Callithrix jacchus: one gene and its partners. The protein of the gene in region 2 interacts with the protein of the main gene of each other region in a biochemical or structural test. Links are inferred from orthologs where the notes say so. Each region holds a gene or a part of one and is shown on either strand. Other genes may lie near its edges.

Region 1 (7,497 bases), on a different chromosome or scaffold from region 2:
AGGTGTGTGGTGGGCGGGGCCTCCTCCCTCCGAAGGCTTTGCCCTGCGCCCCGATTCCGACCGCCACGCGCTCCTTTCCCAGGAGCACTGGTACACCTCCTACATCGACCTGCTGCAGCGCTTCCGCCTGTGGAACGTGTCCAACGAGGTGGTCAAGCTGAGCACGAGCCGAGCCGTCAGCTGCCTCAACCAGGCCTCCACCACCCTGCATGTCAACTGCAGCCACTGCAAACGGCCCATGAGCAGCCGGGGCTGGGTCTGCGACAGGTGGGCAGTGGGGTCGGGAGGTGGGGAAGGGGCCTGCAGGCAGTGCAGGAGCCCCCGCTGAGGCGTCCGCCCTCCCGCCCGCCCCCAGGTGCCACCGCTGCGCCAGCATGTGCGCCGTCTGCCACCACGTTGTCAAGGGCCTGTTCGTGTGGTGCCAGGGCTGCAGCCACGGCGGCCACCTGCAGCACATCATGAAGTGGCTGGAAGGCAGCTCCCACTGCCCCGCGGGCTGCGGCCACCTCTGCGAGTACTCCTGAGCGTTTGCTAGGCTCTGGGGACCTGACCGCCCGGCCGGCCACGTGCAAAACCCCGCCTGGTCTTGGGCCCCAGACGGGCAGAGGCTGGAACTTGAAACCCCAATAAAGGAAGTGGAATCGCTGTCCGCGCGGGGGCTTGCAGTGTGCTCGCCGTGCAGCTGCTGGGCGGGGGCTCTCTCCGGGGCTGTCGCCATGGTAACCAGCGATGCCAATAGGCCTCTTCCGGGGCGGGGCAAAGGAGATCACTTCCGGAACCATCCGGGCACCCGGCGGTTGCCATGACGACGAGGTTGCGGCCAATGGCTGGCGGACGGGCCTGAGGTTCCCGGCGTGCAGCGCGGCTGCCTGAGGGCGGCGGGCTCATGGCGCCGGGGTCGTGGTTGCTCGCGCTCTGGGCGCTGGCGGCTCTGGTTCTACCCAGCTCGGGGGAGGAGGGCGACGGCGGGTGGTGAGCGGCCCGGGAGGGGCCGGGCGGGGGGTCTCGTGCGGCGGGTAGGGCGCGGGCTGACCGGGCTGTGCCCGCAGGCGCCGGGGCGGGCCGGGGGCCGCGGCCGAGGAGCAGCGCTGCACGGTGGAGCGCCGCGCCGACCTTACCTACGCCGAGTTCGTGCAGCAGTACGTGCGCCCCTGACCGCGGAGATCGCGCCCTGGTCACCCGCCCGCCTAAGGCGCCTTCCCCGAGCTCCCGCGAGTGTGGGGCGGGGGCGGCGAGGGTGGCGGTCGAGCCTGGGCGCGACTCTGCCCTTCCTTCCAGGTACGCGTTCGTCAGGCCCGTTATCCTGCAGGGACTCACGGACAACTCGGTGAGCGCGCGCCCGTCCCCGGACACCCTCGCGCGTGCTGGGCCCGGCCTCTAAGCCCCGCCCCCGCCCGCCCCCCCGCAGAGGTTCCGGGCCCTGTGCTCCCGCGACAGGTTGCTGGCGTCGTTCGGAGACAGAGTGGTTCGGCTGAGCACCGCCAACACCTACTCCTACCGGAAGGGTGAGCCGCCCCACCCCGGGCCCGCCTGCTTGCCAACGCCGCGACGGCTGCAGCAGCCGGTCTTGACCCGTCCCTTCCCTGCAGTGGACTTGCCCTTCCAGGAGTATGTGGAGCAGCTGCTGCACCCCCAGGACCCCACCTCCCTGGGCAATGGTGAGTCAGCCATGTATGGCGGTGTTGGGGCGGCGACACGCTTGGAGCCTCCCAGTGCCGGGATCCCTGCCCCACCGTCTCTGTTGCAGACACCCTGTACTTTTTCGGGGACAACAACTTCACTGAATGGTCCTCACTTTTTCGGCACTACTCCCCACCCCCATTTGGTCTGCCGGGTACCGCTCCAGCTTACAGCTTTGGAATCGCAGGTGGGTGCTCCTTGGGACTGGGGAGGAGTGAGGCTTCTGAGAGTGGGTACTAAACAGGTGGGTCACTAGGTGCTCGTAACCCCACAGGAGCCGGCTCGGGGGTGCCCTTCCACTGGCACGGGCCTGGGTACTCGGAGGTGATCTACGGCCGTAAGGTCAGCCCAGGGTGGGTGTCGGGGCTTGGGTGGATGACCCAAGTGGGCAAGGGTGACGCTGCTGCCCCTGCCCACAGCGCTGGTTCCTCTACCCACCTGAGAAGACGCCAGAGTTCCACCCCAACAAGACCACGCTGGCCTGGCTCCGGGACACATACCCAGCCCTGCCGCCGTCTGCACGGCCCCTGGAGTGTACCATCCAGGCTGGTGAGGTCAGTGGCTGGCAGGAGGGACCGGGCCAGGTCAGAGGCCCGCAGCTGATCTCGGCTGCACCCCCTTCCTTCACCAGGTGCTGTACTTCCCCGACCGCTGGTGGCACGCCACACTCAACCTTGACACCAGCGTCTTCATCTCTACCTTCCTTGGCTAGCCGTGGCAGCCGGCAGGCACTCCTGTCACACAGAGCACTTCTTCCCCAGCTTGTGCTCACGGATTTTATTACACAGACGGTGGCCGCAGCCCAGCCCACCCTCACCTGCTTTTCCAGCCCAGAATGGGGGACGGGGAGGATCACAGCCCAGCAAGAGCTATGCTGAGAGGGGAGCCGTCCAGAGCCCAACAGCAGAACTGGGGGGAAGGGAAAGGGTGGCCAGGGACACAAGCTATGTACAGGGGCTGGGGGCTTCTGCCCGTGGCCCTCCGGGGCCAGGACACTGGGCAGGGCGAGGAGCTCAGTAGTCCTCCACCCAGCCGTTCTCAGAGATGAATGCATCAATGACCTCCTTCATAGCCAGGTTGGGAATGAGCTGTTCCTGCGTCAGGGGGCTCCGGGTCACAGGGTCAAAATGGCCTACACGCTGCAGTGACAAGAGGCAGAGGCTGCTCAGCAAGCCTAGGACCCTGCTGCTGGCCCTGCCCACCCCCTGGCCCCAGCCTCACCTGCAGGTGCTCCTCGATGTCCTTGCGGTCGTAAGTGATGCCACTGGGTGTGATGCACGGCTCCCGCATCAGCTCAAAGCTGATCTTGCCACACAGGTAGTCAGGGATGTCGCGCTTCTGTGGCACATGGGCACAGGGTCAGAGGCTGGGAAGGGGCTGCTCCAGGACCTACCACCCACAGCAGCACTCACCTTCCTCTTCTCATCCACCTGAGAGAAGAGCTCATCCATGTCCGCCATGTATCTGTCCTGTGGAAAGTTGAGCAGTGCTTGGGAGGGACACCCCACTTCCCTCCTCCGTGGTACCCAGACCCAACACGAGGCAGGGACACACAGACCCACAGCAGGGTGGGGACGCTCCCGTGCCACGTGTGCACACACACAGACCCACATGTGGATGGGGGCACCCTCACGTGCTTGGCCTCAATGCAGGCCTGCTGGGCCCGGACGTGACTGTCGTCCTCGTCACCCTCGTGGTTCTGCTGGCACTCTTTCAGCTCCCTGGGGGATGACCAGGAGCCCGTCAGAGACGGACCTGGCCAGAAGATGTCTGACCACACCCCAGACTCAGGGCTAACATCCAGGCTTCTTCCCCACATGCACTGCTCGCCAGTAAAACTTTCAGTAAACATTCGTGTTGGCGGTTGGTTATTCAGAATTATCCCCAGACAGCGCGGCCTGGGGTAAGGGTCCCACCTCTCACGCTCCGCCGCAATGAGCCTCGAAAGGTAGGAGTGCAGCTCACTCTCCTGGTGGATGCGCCGCTCCTCGATGCTGTTCCAGCGCTTCTTCTTCGCGATTCGCAGAGCGCTGGGGATGTCGTCCCCAAAGTTCAGTCGCTGCTCCTTGGCCAGGCTGTAGGCTGGGGAACAAGGGCTTCCGGTCACGCTGGCCAGTCCAACCGCCTGGTCCCAGGGGCCCCGCACCCAGGCAGCTTGTCGGCCAACCTCGCTGCAAATTGGCGATGGCCTCATCATAGCTCTCCATCTCCAGCTGGCACTGCCCCAAGAAGAAGTGCGCCTTCACAGACTGCCCGTCCAGCTCCAGGGCGCGCCGGCAGTCGGCCAGGGCCTGCTCATGCTGCTGCATCTTCAGGTAGCACAGGGCCCGGTTGGTATAATACACGGCCACCAGCGGGTTCCGGGTCTAGGGACCAAGGCCGGGCCAGCCGCATCAGGCGTAGGCTCAGCGCGCCCCCTCTGTCCCAGGGCCCGTCCCAGCTTCTGCGATCTGGCTACGATCAAGAACCTAGACCTCTCAGTAGCCAAAGCCTCTGGGTCCAAGGATCTGCAGACACGGGACTACTGGCTGAGCCTACACACCTCACTCCGGTTGGTTCTGTAGAGTTTTCCAAATCTTTGGAGAGTCCCAGCTTTGGACCCTGGCCTCCCACCCACCCGGCCGGCCTCCATCTAGCATCCCACCCTCGTTCCCCGGCACCTGGCGCTGGGATCGAGAACCAATGCTGGGCTTTCGGAGCCCAGGATACCCGCCGCGGAGGAGCCAGACCCTCGGCGGGGCCGGCCGATCGCGGGCGTGGCCCTCCGACTCGCCGTCGCCGCCTTCCCCACGCGGGCGCACTCACGATCGCGCGGCCGTAGCAGGCCGCCGCCTCCGGGTACTTTCGGCCCACAAACAGACGGTTGCCCTGTTCCTTGAGCTCCTGCGCGCTCGGGCTCTTCTCCGGGCTTCCGCCGCCAGCGCCCAGCCGCGCGCCGCCCTCCTTCTCCTCCTTGCCCTTCATGGCGCCGAGCGGCACGGCCTGGGCTGCGCTCCCAAGCTCCGCGCCTGACGGCCCTGCACCCGAAGCCCGAGCCCGAGCCCTGCAGCCCGAGCCCACGATCAGCTCGGGCCCGGCCCAGCTCCGCCGCCGGAACTTCCGGCCGGGGGCGGGATCGGCGGGGACGCAGGCGTCGGGGGGCGGGTAGGGCCGCGCGTGCGCCCAACCAGCCTGGGCGGGGACAGTCGGCCCGCGACGTAGCTGGCTGCGAGGAACGCTCCGGTTCCCTGGCCCCGCGTTTTTCAGGGTCGGCATTCGCGGAGGCCAGCCCCGCCCCGCCCCGCCGAGGCCTCTCCAGAACTGGCCTCGGTGGCGGCCGTCCCATATATCCGGTTTTCTCCGTGAGGTGCCTCAGCCTTGGTTCGCTGAGGGCGTGCTTCCCTAAAAGCCTGTCCCGCCCACGTGGGATTCCGCCCCTGCCCCAACCCGTAAAGACCCCATCTGCAGAGGTCCCGCCCCCAGCAGCCCGCCCCGCCCCCAACAACAGGCCGCATCTGCGGCGGTCCCGCCCCCGGCACCCGCCCCCACTCCCAGCACCTGGCCCATCGGCAGAGGCCCCGCCCCCGCAGCCACCCCCATCGGCGGAGGCCCCGCCCCCAGCACCCGGCCACGCCCCCATCAGTCAGCCCCGTCTGCAGAGGTTCCGCCCCTGGCAGCCGGCCCCGCCCTCGGGGGGGGGTCGACTCCGTTTGCAGAGGTCCCGCCCCCAGCAGCCGGCCCCTTCCGCAGAGGCTCCGCCCCTGAGAGCCGACCCCTCCCCTCCACGTAACATGGCGGCCTCCCACGCGCTCTGGGGCTGTGGGGACCCCAGCGGCTTGCTGGGCTGCCATCCTGGAATGCCACCGAAAGGTGCTACGAGCGCGCGCGGGCCCCCGAGAGCGGCTGGAAGCCGTGGACCGTTGGTAGACTGGTAAGAGATAAAGGGATCCGTGGGGCGAGTGTCCCCGTGGCCGGACCTCCCCTCACCCCCTTTTCCAGGTAACGGGAGGAGTTGCTGGCGGCCATCAAGGGCCGAGCGGAGAAGCACGTGACGCGAAGGGAGCTGGAACGGCTGTTAGTCTAGAGGCTGCCGGTGGGGTGCGGCCCCGCCTCCTCGTGTGCGGGGCCTCCGTAGGGCGGGTCTTCAGGGAGTGGCGTCGGTGGGGCGGTGCTTCCTCGTGGGCGGGGCCTCCTAGGGGCGTGTCTTCGTGGGGGCGGGGCTTTGTCGTGGGGCGGGGTTCCTGGAGGGTCCACCACTCCAGGCATCCTGACCTGGCCTCCCACAGAGAGGCCGCTTTTGGCCATGTCTTCAGCAGCCTGTGGCCACCAATCCCCTGAGCTGGTTGTGCACCGCTTGACCTCCGCCTTCTGACTCCTGCCAGAGTCGGGGGCCGCAGTCATAAAGTTGTGTGCCCTCCGCGGTGTGGGCCCACCACAGGTGAGTCGGGTGTGCACGACCTGGGTGCACAGGCATCCTTGTCTGTGAAGCCGGCAGTCTGGGCCCTTGCATGTTCCTGGGAGCAGGAGCAGGGTCTCCCAGAGCTTGTCCTGATGGGGTGTCTGGCTGCTGTCTCCTCGCTGCTCAGAGCAGTCCTGGCGGTCGGAGCTCCACAGCTGGAAGCCTTCTTGTCAGATGAGGCAGTGGCCACAGTGCCCAGTCTTCTGACCCCACAGTACACCCTCAGGCACAACCTGCTGTCCCTGGGCCGGGTTCAAGCTCTGAGCCAAGGTGAGCAATCTGTGCATGGGCAGGGTGGGGGGGGGCCTGTGCCCTGGGCCTGACTCCATGTGCCCCTCCCTAGCCAGTGCCTCAGGACAGTGGACTCCTCACCTAGTGGAGACAGCGCTGTGGACCGGGGCCTTGGGGCAGAGGCTGTGCCCACACCTGTTGCCCAAACTTGGCCCCAGCTTGGCCACCCACGAGGATGCTAGGCCAGCGAAGAAGCGCAGGACCCAGGCTGAGTGGACTCGGCTACGGCCCTGGCCCACTCACCTGCCACACAACCTCAGGCCTCGGGTGTCACTGGATGCCAGGGAGGCTGCCACCATGGAGCTCAATAAACACTGCCAAACTCACGCCTGACCACACTCCTGGCCTGACACACACCTGGCCCCCAGCCCTCCCCGGTGCCCGTAACTCCCACAGACCTTCGCCTGTGGCCCGGGGAACAAGTCCCACATGTGACCCCAGGTGCAGAGGTGCACAGGGAGGACAGCCAGGCTCTCGTGGTGGGCAGGGCCCTCACGGTCTGTTCAGCGGTTGTGGAGGTCCTGGCAAGTTTCCAGAGCCTGGGATAGCCCCTTGGTGCTGTGTAAAATATTTATTAATTATCCAAAAAGGCTCAGACTGCAAGTCCTGGGAGTAGGGAGTTGGCCGGGACAGGGTCTCCTCTGAGGCCACCCACACCCAAGGGGCACAGCAGCCCTGAGACGTCCGTTCACAAGGGCAGACACGAAGGCCCAAGGGGGGCAGCCACCATGTGCCAAGCCATGGCCTGTGCAGCCTCAGGTAGCCAGTCAGGGCGGTGGAGGGATGTGGGCACCAAGCAGGTCATAGGCAAAGACGTTCCAGAAGACGGCGAAGAGCAGGAAGGTGCCGTAGGCCAGCAGCACCACCCACCAGCCACACTGGTCCCGCAGGCGCTCCTCGTAGCTGCGCAGGATGGTCAGGCCCATGCTCACCCCCACCACCGCGCCTGCCAGGTGCGCCATGAAGCTGGGCTGTGGGCCCGAGGCGGGCAGCGGCGGGGAGAAGCGCAGCCACACGGCCCGGCCCACCTCGGAGCTCACTGCAGAGGGATGCGGCAGATGGGAGGTGCCCCGGCTGCAGGCTGAGAG
Region 2 (6,699 bases):
CCCACCCCAGCCTCCCAAGTAGCTGGACTACAGGCATGTGCCACCATGCACAGAAATTTAAATATTTTTTGAGATGGAATTTCACTCTTGTCTAGGCTGGAGTGCAGTGGTGCGATCTCAGCTTACTGCAACCTCCGCCACCCAGGTTCAAGCGATTCTCCTGCCTCAGCCTCCCGAGTAGCTGAGATTACAGGTGCCTGCCAACATGCCCAGCTAATTTTTGTATTTTTAGTAGGAATGGGGTTTTGCTATGTTGGCCAGGCTGGTCTTGAACTCCTGATCTCAGGTGATCCACCTGCCTTGGCCTCCCAAAGTACTGGGATTACAGGTGTGAGCTACTGCACCTGACCTAATTTTAATTTTTTCAGGGGGACAGGGTCTTGCTTTGTTGCTCAGGCAGTCTCGAACTCCTGGGCTCAAGCAGCCTTGCCTTGGCCTCCCCAGGTGTTGGGATTACAGGCGTGAGCCACCGTGCCTGGCTCAAATGATTTTTGTATACTGATCTCTCCTATGCGAAAACCACTTCTAGTATCATTTTGATAGATTCCTTGTGTGTGCTACCTGGACAACCATGTCATCTGTGAAGTCTTCCTCTTGTCCAGTTTGCATGTCTTTTCAGCACTCACTACCCTCCTCGGCAGGATGGAACTTGACTATGGAAGGTTTGAAGCAACAATGAATTTTGAAGTGATAGGGTAAGAATCGTGGTCCTTTAAGCAGTGCAAGGACATTTGCAGCCATGACATACATGTGTCATCTGGCCCAACTTCTCACTCACTTGGCTGGGCATCCATCTTCTTGGTGGTCCAGGTGCCAGCACAGGGACTGCTGGGAGATAGGTCAGGCGCACAGCTAAGTACCCATCCATTCGCCATCAACACTTTCCCAGTAACTCCAGGAGGATAGTTCATTTGGGAGATGATTTATACAGAAGTCCTACATTGCCTGATTCCCTCAACTGCCTTATATTTGGAAGAAATCTAAAGATTTAATATTTTTTATTTTTTTGAGACGGAGTTTCACTCGTTACCCAGGCTGGAGTGCAATGGCGCGATCTCAGCTCACCGCAACCTCCGCCTCCTGGGTTCAGGCAATTCTCCTGCCTCAGCCTCCTGAGTAGCTGGGATTACAGGCACGTGCCACCATGCCCAGCTAATTTTTTACATTTTTAGAAGAGATGGGGTTTCACCATGTTGACCAGGTTGGTCTTGATCTCTTGACCTCGTGATCCACCCGCCTCGGCCTCCCAAAGTGCTGGGATTACAGGCGTGAGCCACCACGCCCAGCCTAGGTTTACTATTTTTTTAACTAGACCTGGGAAAAAGCTGACATTTTACCCTTTTTGCCATTCGCTTCCTAGTTCAACACTAAACCTTTGTCTTAGCTGCTAACATCTTCTAGTAAGCAACAAAACTTAAAATTCAGCCACCAAGACCCTAAGTAATTCTTTCTATTGACTAAGGGAACTAAGAACTTCTCAGAGGATTTTACGGATTAAATGTGATTGCCATTTGCCAAGCACTCAATACCTGCTTAGCATGAAGGACTGAGACCAAGTCTTCTCCCTGCCTGTGCTCTGCCCCTTAAGTCACCAGCACATACCCAAGTCCCACCCATATCCTTTTTATATATGGCTTTAGGCTCAGAATGCAAATCCTACATGCTATCTAACCAAGTTTTCTTTCTAGAATCACAAGACTTTTAGTTAGCCATTACCACCCCTAGAACTTTTTGAGACGGAATTTTGCTTTCTGCCCATGCTGGAGTGCAATGGTGCCATCTCAGCTCACTGCAACCTCCGTCTCCTGGGACTACAGGTATGTGCTAACACGCCCAGCTAATTTTGTATTTTTAATAGACAGCAGTTCTCCATGTTTGTCAGGCTGACCTCACATGATCCACCCACCTCAGTGTCCCAAAGTGCTAGATTATAGGGGTGAGCCACTGTGCCCAGTATTTTTTAAACCTTTGGAGACATGCCAGCTAATCTTTCCCCTACCGACTTGTTACCTACTGCTCACAACGAGCTCAAAGGACCAGAAAATGAGCGACTTTAGACACTGAGTTTAAAGAAATCTGGTAATGAACTGAGACAAAAGGCCAAGGAACTGACTACATTTAAGACACAAGGTGTCCCATGAATATCATCACAACAGTGCAGACGTGCACATGGGATGCACATTGTCTGCATTATTTTCTGTCTACATGTACTCCACCCCACACGCACCAGAAGTACACATTGGGAAGATCATGTCAACCCTTACAGTGGCCAATGTTAGTCACCTCCTGCTAGTACCTCATGTTTTACATTGTGGCACCAATGCTGTCACATCAAGAATACTCCCCTTCTCTGCCCAAGACAGACACTGTCACGCAACTTCTTTTAACTCATCTGTATTTGTTACAACTTTAAGCAGAATGTAACTCGAGCACTACATTTCCATCCACAAGACTGGCTCTGAGTTACTTTGAACAGCTTATGGTATGCTTAGGTAGGCTAATAACTGCTCCTCCAAACAATACTTTCTTTGGAAAACAAGCCCTGTGGAGAGTTCCATCAAGTTGCTTCAGTTTAACCTATTTCTAGAGGACTAGTACATGCAGAATTGGCAACTACAGGGAGGAAGAGTTCAGAAAGTAGATCCTACAAGGTATAACAAACACTTCTCTTCTAAACATCAAAGTATAGCTTGGGAACACTTCGATAACAAGATTTGGTCTACTAAGGAATCTGGCTTGCTAAACACTTTAGACCACAAAGTTAACATGTTACATACATCTTACAACACAAAGTACCTCGATCTGTTAATGTAAGCCAACGTGAAACTAAACAAGCATTACTAGCTCTGCGTTACTGCCTACAGTATCACAGCATCGCTCAGAAGTCGGCAGAGATCTACCTTCCCCTTATAGTTGTGATCATGCCATAGACTTTTTAATGTTAACAAAAATAAAGAAAAACATCCTTGAAAATATATTATTAGAGGAACTGTAGAGTACTGAACAGGTAAGTCATCCCTCAGATGGAGCTTAGTCTACTTCTTCCATGCGTGACGTGTCGTCATCTCCTTCGAGGGGTGGCATTTCTTCAGTTACAGCTGCACTGGTATCATCAGCAGTAGGGTCATCTTCATCAATACCTGTTTTCAAAAGAAAATCCTCTATTAGGAAGATTTCTTAAAGCCAGCTAATTAGTATTAATACTCCTGGTTTACATCTGCTTTCAAGACAGTATTACTGGGCATAGGAATCTTCGTTTCTTAGCTCTTGTAACACCTTATCCCTGTAGAAAAAGATACCTGAATGCCTCTGAGCAGGACAAGGTGCTCCAAGTTTGGATAACATTAACCACTTTTTCACAAGTCATGTATGATTGCTTTTCAACTTGACACAGTTTAAGGCTTACCTAGACCAAGTTTGATCATCCTGTAGATCCTGTTAGCATGTGTCTGGGGATCCTCCAGACTGAAGCCTGAAGACAGGAGAGCGGTTTCATAAAGCAAGATGACCAGATCCTTCACAGACTTGTCGTTCTTATCAGCCTCCGCCTTTTGCCTTAAGGTCTCGATGATGGAATGGTCAGGGTTTATCTCCAGGTGTTTCTTTGCTGCCATGTAACCCATTGTTGAGTTGTCTCTCAGGGCTTGAGCTTTCATGATTCTCTCCATGTTTGCTGTCCAGCCGTATGTGCTTGTGACAATACAGCATGGAGACGTCACCAATCGGTTTGACACAACCACCTGTAATGAAGAAGTAAGAACTTAGGAGCCTAGAAAGATTAAAACCTAAACTTTCATTGTGAAATGAAATCTGAAGAACCAAAATATCAATATGTCGGAAATACCATCTACTATCAAATACAACTTAAGGTTTTATTAGGTATCCAAACAGCACAGGCTAAAATTGTGTTTTACATACACAACCATAGTTTTCAGTGAAGCTGAGAACAAGGGAAAATGGGTTATGTAAGCTTGAAAGCCCCTTAGAGGTATCAATCATCAGGAAATGCTGTATTCACATACCTTTTCAACCTTTTTCTCCAGTATGTCTTTCATGATTTTGCAGAGGTTCTCAAACTTTGTTTTCTTCTCTTCCTGTTTCTTTTTCTCTTCTTCATCCTCTGGAAGTTCCAAGCCCTCTTTGGTGACTGACACTAAAGTCTTCCCCTCAAATTCCTTCAGCTGTTGGACACAGTACTCATCAATGGGCTCAATCATATAGATCACTTCTAAGCCATGCTTTCGAAGACGTTCCACAAAGGCTGAGTTAGCTACTTGGTCCTTGGTCTCACCTGAGGTATTATAAAAGTTACTTTTATACCTTTTGACAGTAAGGAATGGCTTCACCTACTTCTGACTTTTCTTACTAGTCAGATACCTAGGCAGAACCGAAAACAGATGACTGAGCTCATGTTAAGTATCCTGCTTAGATCAACACCAGTTATACTAACAGTGCTACCTGAGTAGAAAACACATCCAGAGCCTACAAGGTTCCAAGAACAAAGTGTTTGAGTGTAATGTACTGTCCCCCTACCTGTGATATAATAGATATGTTTCTGGTTTTCCTTCATTCTGGTGCAGTAGTCTTTGAGAGATACCATCTCATCACCAGAGGCAGATGTGTAGTATCTCAACAGCTCTGAAAGCTTCTTCCGATTTTGAGAGTCTTCGTGTATTCCAAGCTGAAACAAAGTAAGTTCTTTACAAAGATGTCTTGAATTTAAAAAAAATCTAAAAAGAGGCCAGTTGGAAAACTACTAATGGTCAAATATTTACACTAACCTTTATGTTTTTAGAGAACTGCTCATAGAACTTCTTGTAGTTCTCTTTATCTTCTGCCAGTTCAGTGAAGAGTTCTAAGCATTTTTTGACCAGATTCTTCCTGATAACTTTCAAAATCTTGCTTTGTTGCAACATCTCACGGGAAATATTTAGAGGGAGATCCTCTGAGTCTACCACCCCTCTAATGAAGTCTGAAAAAAATATAAAAACCAAATGCACTGAGTCATTCCAAAGACAAAACTGGTGCTAGATAACCCCCAAAAAATCAAACGTAAAAACCTCAAAATATATACATATGTATTAAGATGGGTCTGTTTTACAGGGTGGAGTGCAGTGGCCCGATCTCTGCCCACTGCAACCTATCTCCCACTCCCCTCTCCCTATTCAAGCTATTCTCAAGACTCAGCTGGACTCCAGGCACCCACCACCACACCAGGCTAATTTAGTAGAGATTGGGTTTTCATTTTGGCCAGCTGGTCGTGAATTCCTGACGTTAGGTGATCCACCCACCTCCGCCTCCCCTAAGTGCTAAGATTATAGGAGTGAGCCACTGTGCCTGCCAGGAATTATTTCTTTAATCCCTGACTGATCATTTTTCCTAACTGTACTTACTCAGATATTCAGGGATTAGTTCCTCACAGTTATCCATGATGAAAACTCTGCGTACATACAACTTGATGTTATTCTTTTTCTTTCTGTTTTCAAACAGGTCAAAAGGAGCACGTCGTGGGACAAATAGAAGGGCTCTGAATTCCAACTGTCCTTCAACTGAAAAATGCTGTAATAAAACATACACACTTAAGTACCAATGAACAATGCATTACAGAAGGTATCTGTGGTGGAAGAGGAAAGACAGTAACTAAGGACAAGCTCGAAGCACCACTCAGTCACTCACCTTCACTGCCAAGTGATCTTCCCAGTCATTGGTCAAGCTCTTGTAGAATTCTCCATACTCCTCATTAGTAATATCGTCAGGATTTCTGGTCCAGATGGGCTTTGTTTTGTTGAGTTCTTCTTGATCGATGTACTTTTCCTTAATCTTTTTCTTCTTCTTCTTGTCACCATCCTTTTTTTCTTCTTCTTCTTCATCAGAACCAACATCTTCAATTTCAGGTTTATCTTCAGACTCTTTCTCTTCTTTCTCTTTTTCTTCTTCTTTATCTTCCTTTTCTTCAGCCTCATCATCACTGACTTCTTTATCACGTTCCTTCTCCACCTTCAAAACAAGACGTGAAATCACATCACTGCTGCAACTGGTAACACTGAGCAACTATTTTCAACTAAGGCCAAAGCCTAGTCAGCCAAGCCAGAAGCAGCCAGGCAGCTTCTCATCAACGTATCTTATAGACTAAGGTAGTAGATAGAGCTTAGGTTCCCCAGGCTCCACACTAATAAATAACAACCCAAGTTCAACAGATCTAAGGAATAAGGATGTAGCTCAGTCACCCCAGTCATCTACAGAGAGTAACTCACTCTGCAATTTTTTTTTTTTTTTTTTTTAAAGACAGAGTTTCGCTTGTTACCCAGGCTGGAGTGCAATGGCGCGGATCTCGGCTCACCACAACCTCCACCTTCTTGGTTCAGGCAATTCTCCTGCCTCAGCCTCCCGAGTAGCTGGGCTTACAGGCACGCGCCACCATGCCCAGCTAATTTTTTGTATTTTTAGTAGAGACGGGGTTTCACCAAGTTGACCAGGATGGTCTCGATCTCTTGACCTCGTAATCCACCCACCTCAGCCTCCCAAAGTGCTAAGATTATAGGCGTGAGCCACTGTGCATGGCATTCACTCTGCAATTACATAGAAACTTACAAAAAGAGTAATGGGATAGCCAATAAACTGAGAATGTTTCTTCACAATCTCCTTTATTCTTCGTTCCTCCAAGTACTCAGTTTGGTCTTCCTTCAGGTGTAGGATAAC
Region 3 (7,629 bases), on a different chromosome or scaffold from region 2:
TCCAGGCTGAAAAGGCTTCCTGTCCATTTCCTGGAAAGTACCTTCCTATCCCTTGAGACTTGGTTCAAATGTTTGGCAAATCGTCCTTGGCCTCTTCACACAATCAGATGGTCCCTCAGCATCCTTCGTACCCTTCTAATAACTCAGCCAGGCAGCAGTGTGATTACTAACTTAAATGACACCTCACTAAACAAAGAACTAGAATTAGAAACTAGAAACAATGTTCTATCAGTCTCTGAACCCCTAGGAATTTTCAGTAGTGTCTGGCATGTAATGGATATGTTTCAGTAATGACTGAATGAATGAATGGGAGAGGCAAATCTTGATGGCAGAGGAGAGAATCTGTAGCAATTATGACTGATAAGACTGGGCTTAGATCCAAGGAGATGTAGACGACTATGACCACACTTCCAAGTACACCGAAGAGATCATAATGGTGTATGTTTGGTGTGCCCAGAGTTAAAAAGGATACAAACAGCTGAGAATATAATTCACTAAAAGAGAGATATAACTCACTTTGTATCTTTGACCTTGGTTTGCCTGCCTGCCTACTCTATGAAGTGCCCACCCCTCACCTGGGCTTGAGGTATACAATGGAATGTTCTCCTTTCTCCATGCGCTGAATGGCCCTCTCCAGACCATAAGGCAGATCCAGGTTCTCCCCCTCACCAATCTCAAAGCGGAGCTCTCGTTGATCAAAGAGCTGGTCTTTGTAGTACCCTTCCAGTGCAACTGGCATGAAAGAGAGGCAGTGTACCAGAGTTGTAAAAGGGAAAGGTAACTGAGGAAGGATGCCATCAGCCTCTCTACATCACCCCAAGATTCTCCTACTTGTGTTCTCAAAGACAATATGGTCCAACCCCTCATTTTATGGCCAAGAAAACAGGCTCAGAGAAGAGACATTACCTACCCAAAGCCACTGAGGCCTAAATATCAAAATTAGAATTGAAACCCAAGGCTGTACTGTCTTACCCTCCACAATAGCGCCCTCATTGGGCTTAGCATAGCCTTCACCACGAGTCCGTATTCTGCGGATGATTCCGCCATCTTCCTCTTCCGTCAGATCTTCTCCCTTAAACTCAAACAACTCCACCTGTGGGACAAGATGTGACACAATTCCTTCCCATACTAACTCATGGGCAGTGAAACACAACCTTTCTCTCACCCAGGAGAGTCCCTACTAACTGCCAGGCCAGATCTGACTATAAGGGTAGTCACGAGGAGTCGGGTAGAAAGGCGATTTTGCTAAGTTCTTGGGAGCTGCCCTTACCTCACCTTTGGTAGAGGTGGGCAGCCTACATGGGCTTCAGTTAAGCTGAGGAGAGCAATCTATTTGCTACCTGCTCTACTAATGAGGACGCATCGGGACGTGTTCCAGGTAATCCTGATTCACACTACCTGATAAGCCCAATCTGGTAGGTGTTAGGAATGATTACCCAATATCTCTCAGCAGTTTCTCAACATTCAAGTGCCCACAGATTGGCTCAACCATTTTCATATTGAACAATGTCAAGTTCTAGCTCCTCAGAGACGGCTTTTCTCAGCCCTTGACCCACAGGGGAGGGCTATTGCTCCCTCTTCTGATCTCTAGAGCACCAATATTCTGTACTGCTATTTATAAGGGTACATAGTTTCTGACCTCCCGACTCCTTTCAGTATTCTTCTGGGTACCACTCTTGAGATAAAGAAGCCTTAACCCCGACCATGCCTTGAGTCTGGAGAGGGGCTTGCGCCTGCCTCTTCCAACCCAAAGCTTCCATTACTTCTATTACTAGCAGCAGCAGAGCCAACTGCCCTGTTCATTTCTACTCCTCCCATAAGGCCAGGCCCTCAGCCTTGGCTACATTGTCTCCAAGAAGCAGGAAGGGCTGGAGAGCAGCCAGGCATTGGGCTGAGATAAGGCCTGGCTTTTAGCCTGGATCTCAGTGGCTGGACACTCACCTCAAACACAAGCGTGGCATTGGGGGGGATCTTTGGAGGACTGCCTGCTGAACCGTAGGCATATTCTGGTTTGCAGGTGATGTGGCACACCTCCCCAACTTTCATGGTTGCTATGGCAATGTCCCAAGCCTTGATGACCTCCCCTGCAGATATAGAGGCAAACAGGATCACCTTAGCAGGGTTCTGATTCTGGGCTCACACAGTGCTCCTGGAGAGTTACTGAACCACACTCACGGGGAAGCTGGACATCCTTTAGAAATGGGACCAGAAGGTGAGATACCTGGTTGCATTAAGTGTTACCAGGTCTCAGAACTCTTAAAAGATCACCTGACCCTGAAAAAAAGAGTTTTAAGATGCAAGACAGTCCACCTTTGAAGCTGGAGTAAGGTGCTGGGAGGTGATGAGAAGAGAAGACATAGATCAATATAGTTACAGATCGGTAGAAGGAAAAGAGTGACAGAAAGAGTAACAGAGTGTGATAAACCACTCCTCCCTGAGCCTGGTCCTGAGAAAATGGTTTCTGCTTGTGACAGTTTGTGTCCACCTCAAACCTATCCTGCCAGCCCACTGACCACGCCTACCTTTTCCCAGGTCAAAGGAGAATTTGTCCTTGCGATCCAGACTGGAGTCAAACTTTGTGCCATCTAACAGCCAGCCAGTGTAGTGGACAAAGACTCGGTCCCCAATCATGGGCATCTCTGTACCTGTGCCCTCTCTCTTGATGACCTGGGAGGAAGGGGGAGAAAGTGAGTACCCCAGGGGTGGGGGCGGAAAGGGGCACCAACACTGTCTGCAAGCCTCCAGGAACATAAATGAAGCTCTCTGTGTCCATCCTCCTCTGCCTACTTGTCCCTCCAGATTCGGTTACTAGCAGCTTAGCCTAGGAGTCAACTAACCTTGTCTTTCTTGAGGTGCAGCAAGACTTGGTTTGAAAAAGAGACAAAAGACTGAGAGATCTGAGTTCAAGTTTCTGGTGTATGGATAAGTTCTTAAAACTCTCCACACCTTATTTGTAAAGCAGTGATGATGATCCCTATCTCCTACAGCTGTTGGAAGATTAGACCAGTAAAGGGCTGAATAATAGATTATTATTATCATCGGCAAATGGGGAAGTATTTATGCCATACTTCCTCCTCCTTCCTTCATGCCAGTGGTCATCAGATCAGGGTCTGGTTTGGAGACAGGAGAAAGAGAGGAGTATAAGTGAAGAGAAAAGAAACAGTTCAAAACAGGTAAGGAAGAAACCAGGTTATAGGTGAACCCGGAGGCTCTCCCTGGGGCCTTGAACTCTGACTTCGGAGCTGAGTATTCCTGATTAAGTCCAGGCTGGAGTATTTCCCAGCAACTACAGGCTTCTTTAGCGCCACCTGGTAGGTGTGTGGTTACCCTCTAAGGGAAAGCTTCCATGAAGAACGGAAAGGGGCCTTGAGGAGTAGAAAGGTAAAAGGGAAGGAATGGCGGATCAAAGGGGGAAATGATCCTTCCTAGAATAACAATCTCATAGAAAACAGCAGGACGCTGGAGCGAGAAGGGGAAGCCACATGCCACAGGACAGTCGCTGGATCAGGCACTCGAGGTCCCCAGTTATCTGGTGCCAAGCCAGATGCACTTCTGGACCAGGTAAAGGCCCCCTGAGACGGGTGCCGCACACGCGGAGCTCAACGGTGGGAAGCCAGGATGAGGAGGAGCAGCGGATAGGGAGAGGGCATAAGATGCGAGCTGCGAGTTCACCATCTCCGGACTCTCCCCAGAACCTGCTCCGACCCATGGCAGGTTGTCCTGGCCCAGGTCAAGATGCCCTCCACCCAGCTCCCCAGGCTATTTGTAGTCGAGCGGTCACTCGGCCGCGGGCTCCACAGCAGAGCGCCTCCTCCCCACCCCACACCCCGCAGACGGGCTCCGGGAGGCGGCGCGGGGGGGGGGGAACTACAGCTCCCGGCATTCCCCGCGCTCGGCCTCCCCGGGGGGGCGAGGGAGGGGGCGCGGAGAGTTGGGGACCTCGCAGGGTCCCGGTGTCGGCAGGGGACACCAGGAGGGCGCCAGAACCCTGTCGCGCTTGCGTCACACAAAGGCCTCCAGGCCAGGAAAGCACTGTGGGGAGTCGCTCCCCGTCCTGGCCTATGTTCCACAGCCGGGGTGGGCCAGCCCTGGCACCGCCACCTACAAGGCAGCCCGGGGGATAGGGGGCGGCGCGGCGTGGGAGCAGCCCGGCCTGGCCCCTGGCTGCAGCTGGAGCGCCCGCGGCGGCCGCCCCGCCCCTCTCCGCCGCCCTGCGCGCGCCGAGGTGGGCGCTGCAATCCCGACCCCCTGCCGGGCCCGGGCGCCGCGGGATAGGGAGCCTGGGGCCTCGGCCGGCTCACCTAGGCCGCCCCCTGCCGAGCGCGTGGCCACCCTCAGTGCCCCAAACGACGCATCACGGTCCGGGACGGCGATGCCACCGGCCCCCGGCGAAACCGCCACAAGGTTGCAGAGGCGGCCGCCTCGACCCGCGCCCGGCCGCGGGCTCCCGGCTTGGCGGAAGGGTGGCCCGCCGGGCCCGGGGTTCGGTCGCCCCCGCAGACCCCGCCTTCCCTCACCTTCAGCACGCCTTCGTCCTGTTTGGGGCTTATGTCCACTCCCTCCACCGGCAGCGGCGCGGACTGCGCCCCGTTCTCGGTCGCCTTCATCTCCTCGGCTGTCATCTCCGGGCGGCGAGCCGTTTCTCCGGGAGCTGGCGCCGGCGCGAGCGCACTCTGGGTAGCCGGTGGGGGTACTACCTGCGGAGCGTGCGGGAGGCCAGGCGCCACGGCGCTAACTGCGGACCGCTCAGAGACTGGAGCACCTCTGCTCGCGGCGCGGGAGCGGGGGTAGGTGGGTCAGGAGCGGCTCGGGGAGCGATTGGTCCCGCCCCGCCGCGAGGGAGGGGCTGGGAGGAGCCGGAGAGCGGACAGAGCGGGCGGGGTGCAGAACTTTCTAGAGACTGCGGGGCTGATCCCGTTCGGGCTCGGGCTGCGGGCGCTTCGGATTTTTTTTTTTCTCCTTGTTCTTGCCTCCTGCTGGTTGCCGGCACCCCTTCCCCTCTCCTGGGACCCTCGGACTCGGGATCTCCCCTGGCCTTTCCTCCCTCCCACCCCCGGCCGCTTCCCTGTCTAACCGGATTCTTCCAGATTCTTCTCGATCGATCTCCTGACTTTACTCCACTAGTCCGCTGCGCCCGCGGCGGGGTGTGGGAAGCGCGGGCAGCCAGATGGCAGCGGCGGCACGCCCTCCCCGGGAGCAGCTTTCACCATGGGCGGCGTGGCCTTCCCGTTATGACCCGCGTAGACCCTTGCCTACCTGGGGGAAAAAGGGCAAGGGCGTGTGGGCGGGGAAGTGAGTGGACAGCGCTGCCCCGCTGCGCAGAGCCAGGGAAAGCAACCTCAATTTCCCCAAAGTCGGAAAGCCCCAGCTGGGCAGCAGTGCCTCCTCCCGCGCCTGCAGATGCTGCAAGGAACGGGGTGGCAGGGCATGGCCGTCCAGCTTGGGACTCACACGGGGCACGCACTCAGGGGACCCTTCCTCGCGGTAATGAAACTGCCGTTTCCGCGAATGCTTACAAGGATGGGTTCCCCTCCCGAAAAAAGTCACTCGGTTTTCCTAAAGGCCCACAGACGGAGTATTTTCAATGTTTGTTTCCTGAGTGTTTCTTGACAGCCTGTGGAGCGCGCAGCTACCGGTGTCACCAAAGCCATGGTCGTGGGACCTAGAGAGCCATCTAGAGAGGAGCCTGGTTTTGCTCAGCACCTAACCCCAGCTTAGTGTAGTATCTGGTGAGTGGTGCCCAGTTGTAACTGGTTGCATGAAGTTTCCTTTTTTATTTCTTTTTCCAAGTCTTGGCTGATTTTTTCTTTTCTTTTTTCTTTTCTTTTTTTTTTTTTTTTTTTTGAGACAGAGTCTCACTCTGTCACCAGGCGCCAGGCTGGAGCGCAGTGGCGCGATCTCGGCTCACTGCAACCTCCACCTCCCGGGTTCAAGCATTTCTCCTGCCTCAGCCTCCCGAGTAGCTGGGACTACGGGCGCGCGCCACCACGCCGGCTAATTTTTGTATTTTTAGTAGAGACGGGCTTTCGCCATGTTGCCCAGGCTGGTCTCAAACTCCTGGTCTCAAATGATCCGCCCTCCTCGGCCTCCCAAAGTGCTGGGATTACAGGCGTGAGCCACTGCACCCAGCGTGAATTTTTATTCCTATAATAATTATATTTTTGGACATCCGTTTATGTGCCCGGCACTTCGCTGTTGGGACGCCGTCAGGCTCATCAAACTAAATTAGGATCGCTTTTTAGAGATGAACTTTTCAGCGTCATAACGCGATGGTTCATTGTAGTCCCTGCCGAGGGAACTTGAAAGGAATGCATAAGAAAAAGCGCTTCTCTCCAGCAATTTACAGCCCACATGAGTTGAGAGCCACAATGAAGATGTCTCTTTAGGTGACTGGAGGCACCTCCAGAGGATACGGGGGCGCTGCCTCTGTAGGGATTAAATCCACTACTTTTCTGTAGAAATAACAGTGCCAGGAGCCACCCAAACTCCGGGAGACCAGGATGGTGGGTGCTGGCTTCCGGGTGGCAGTTTACCGCAAACTGTCCTTGGCTTGCACCTACTGATTCTCCACGTGTGGCTGTTTCTTTTCTGCGTCTTTTTCTTCATCAGAAGCAGACAGTGTAGGACCCCCTTCTTTAATTCTGTTCAGCACATACTTAATGGAAGCCTTCCGATGTACCTACCATTATATAAACACATAGCCAATACCCTAGTGGAATGAACCTGTGCTTTGGAGTAAGGCGAGTTGGGTGGTCCATGTGTTAGCGGTTTAATTTGGGGCAGGTTATTTAATCTTTATGTATCGATTTCTTGTCTGTAAAATAGGGGTAGTAACATCTGTAAATGAGGGGTGTTACTGGTTAAAAAAGAGGGAATCTGTGTATGGTATCTAGCCAGCACAGTGGTCGCCTCCAACTCCGCAGTTGGCAAATAACGGTCGTTAGTGTGATCTGATAGGCGCTGCGGTGGAGATGGGGACAAAGTGCTAAGAAAACAAAGGGCTGTGAGATAGGGAAGGCAGGAAGGCAAGGTTCTCGGTGAGAAGCTCTGTCCCCACACACAGCGACGGAGGAAACGAGGGGCCCACAGGTATTGGGTCTTGAATCCCGGAGCAGATACTTACTGTTTCACGGAATATTTCCTGGTCGTTTATGTGATACTTTTCTGATCATAAAACATACACATACTCACTGTAGAAAGTGTGCACGTGTTTAAGTCTCTTTATCTCCTCACCCTTTCCCTGGCCCATTTAAGTAAGTATTCTATTAAATATGTTTAACTGGTGTCACTCGAAATTCTTCCAAAATATCCCCTTTTTTTTTGCAGGAGGAAGTCAGCACACTTTTTCTCATCCACCTTCTCCGTAGGTGACTTCTGCTGGGATCAGAAGCTTTGTTCTTGTCACACTGAGCCTCTCTGAGCTGACCAGGCTCAGCTCCCAAACCCTGGGCCTATCATTTACACATGAAGACCCCTTGTTTCTATAGTTCATATTTTGACCTTCTTAGGCTGCCAATGCACTTAACATCCAAAGAATTGTATAATATTTGGACCATTCAAAAGACTGTGCAATGCAGTACGAGTGTGTGTGTGCATGTATGCATACATGTTATGCAGCATACCAGCACA

Evidence for each region. The genes of interacting proteins can lie anywhere in the genome.
Region 1: the proteins of HSP90AA1 (region 2) and STUB1 form a complex in vitro, tested with the Homo sapiens proteins (14 studies listed by BioGRID and IntAct, with this or other methods). The link is inferred for Callithrix jacchus from reciprocal best matches to the Homo sapiens genes HSP90AA1 and STUB1.
Region 3: the proteins of HSP90AA1 (region 2) and FKBP4 form a complex in vitro, tested with the Homo sapiens proteins (4 studies listed by BioGRID and IntAct). The link is inferred for Callithrix jacchus from reciprocal best matches to the Homo sapiens genes HSP90AA1 and FKBP4.

Annotation. Positions count from the first base shown.
Region 1 is NC_133513.1:2,938,856-2,946,352, reverse strand, and holds STUB1 (E3 ubiquitin-protein ligase CHIP), read right to left. Parts: upstream 4,767-7,497; 5' UTR 4,645-4,766; coding exon 4,486-4,644; exon of another isoform or gene 4,341-4,485; intron 4,047-4,340; coding exon 3,848-4,046; intron 3,763-3,847; coding exon 3,597-3,762; intron 3,530-3,596; exon of another isoform or gene 3,402-3,529; coding exon 3,314-3,401; exon of another isoform or gene 3,150-3,313; coding exon 3,093-3,149; exon of another isoform or gene 3,019-3,092; coding exon 2,902-3,018; exon of another isoform or gene 2,842-2,901; coding exon of another isoform or gene 2,820-2,841; coding exon 2,694-2,819; 3' UTR 2,443-2,693; downstream 1-2,442. Other genes in the region: GATOR2 complex protein WDR24, read left to right, coding at 1-2, 83-267, 356-524; JMJD8 (jmjC domain-containing protein 8), read left to right, coding at 887-972, 1,050-1,139, 1,279-1,327, 1,409-1,658, 1,748-1,867, 1,955-2,022, 2,100-2,234, 2,312-2,392; RHBDL1 (rhomboid-related protein 1), read right to left, coding at 7,177-7,448. UniProt on the Homo sapiens protein: E3 ubiquitin-protein ligase which targets misfolded chaperone substrates towards proteasomal degradation.
Region 2 is NC_133509.1:136,998,384-137,005,082, forward strand, and holds the end of HSP90AA1 (heat shock protein HSP 90-alpha), read right to left. Parts: coding exon 6,592-6,699; intron 5,998-6,591; coding exon 5,677-5,997; intron 5,560-5,676; coding exon 5,394-5,559; intron 4,973-5,393; coding exon 4,782-4,972; intron 4,682-4,781; coding exon 4,534-4,681; intron 4,292-4,533; coding exon 4,023-4,291; intron 3,741-4,022; coding exon 3,407-3,740; intron 3,141-3,406; coding exon 3,031-3,140; 3' UTR 2,382-3,030; downstream 1-2,381. UniProt on the Homo sapiens protein: Molecular chaperone that promotes the maturation, structural maintenance and proper regulation of specific target proteins involved for instance in cell cycle control and signal transduction.
Region 3 is NC_133510.1:16,107,706-16,115,334, reverse strand, and holds the start of FKBP4 (peptidyl-prolyl cis-trans isomerase FKBP4), read right to left. Parts: upstream 4,767-7,629; 5' UTR 4,623-4,766; coding exon 4,518-4,622; intron 3,850-4,517; exon of another isoform or gene 2,838-3,849; intron 2,668-2,837; coding exon 2,523-2,667; intron 2,085-2,522; coding exon 1,942-2,084; intron 1,094-1,941; coding exon 973-1,093; intron 733-972; coding exon 576-732; intron 1-575. UniProt on the Homo sapiens protein: Immunophilin protein with PPIase and co-chaperone activities. Component of steroid receptors heterocomplexes through interaction with heat-shock protein 90 (HSP90).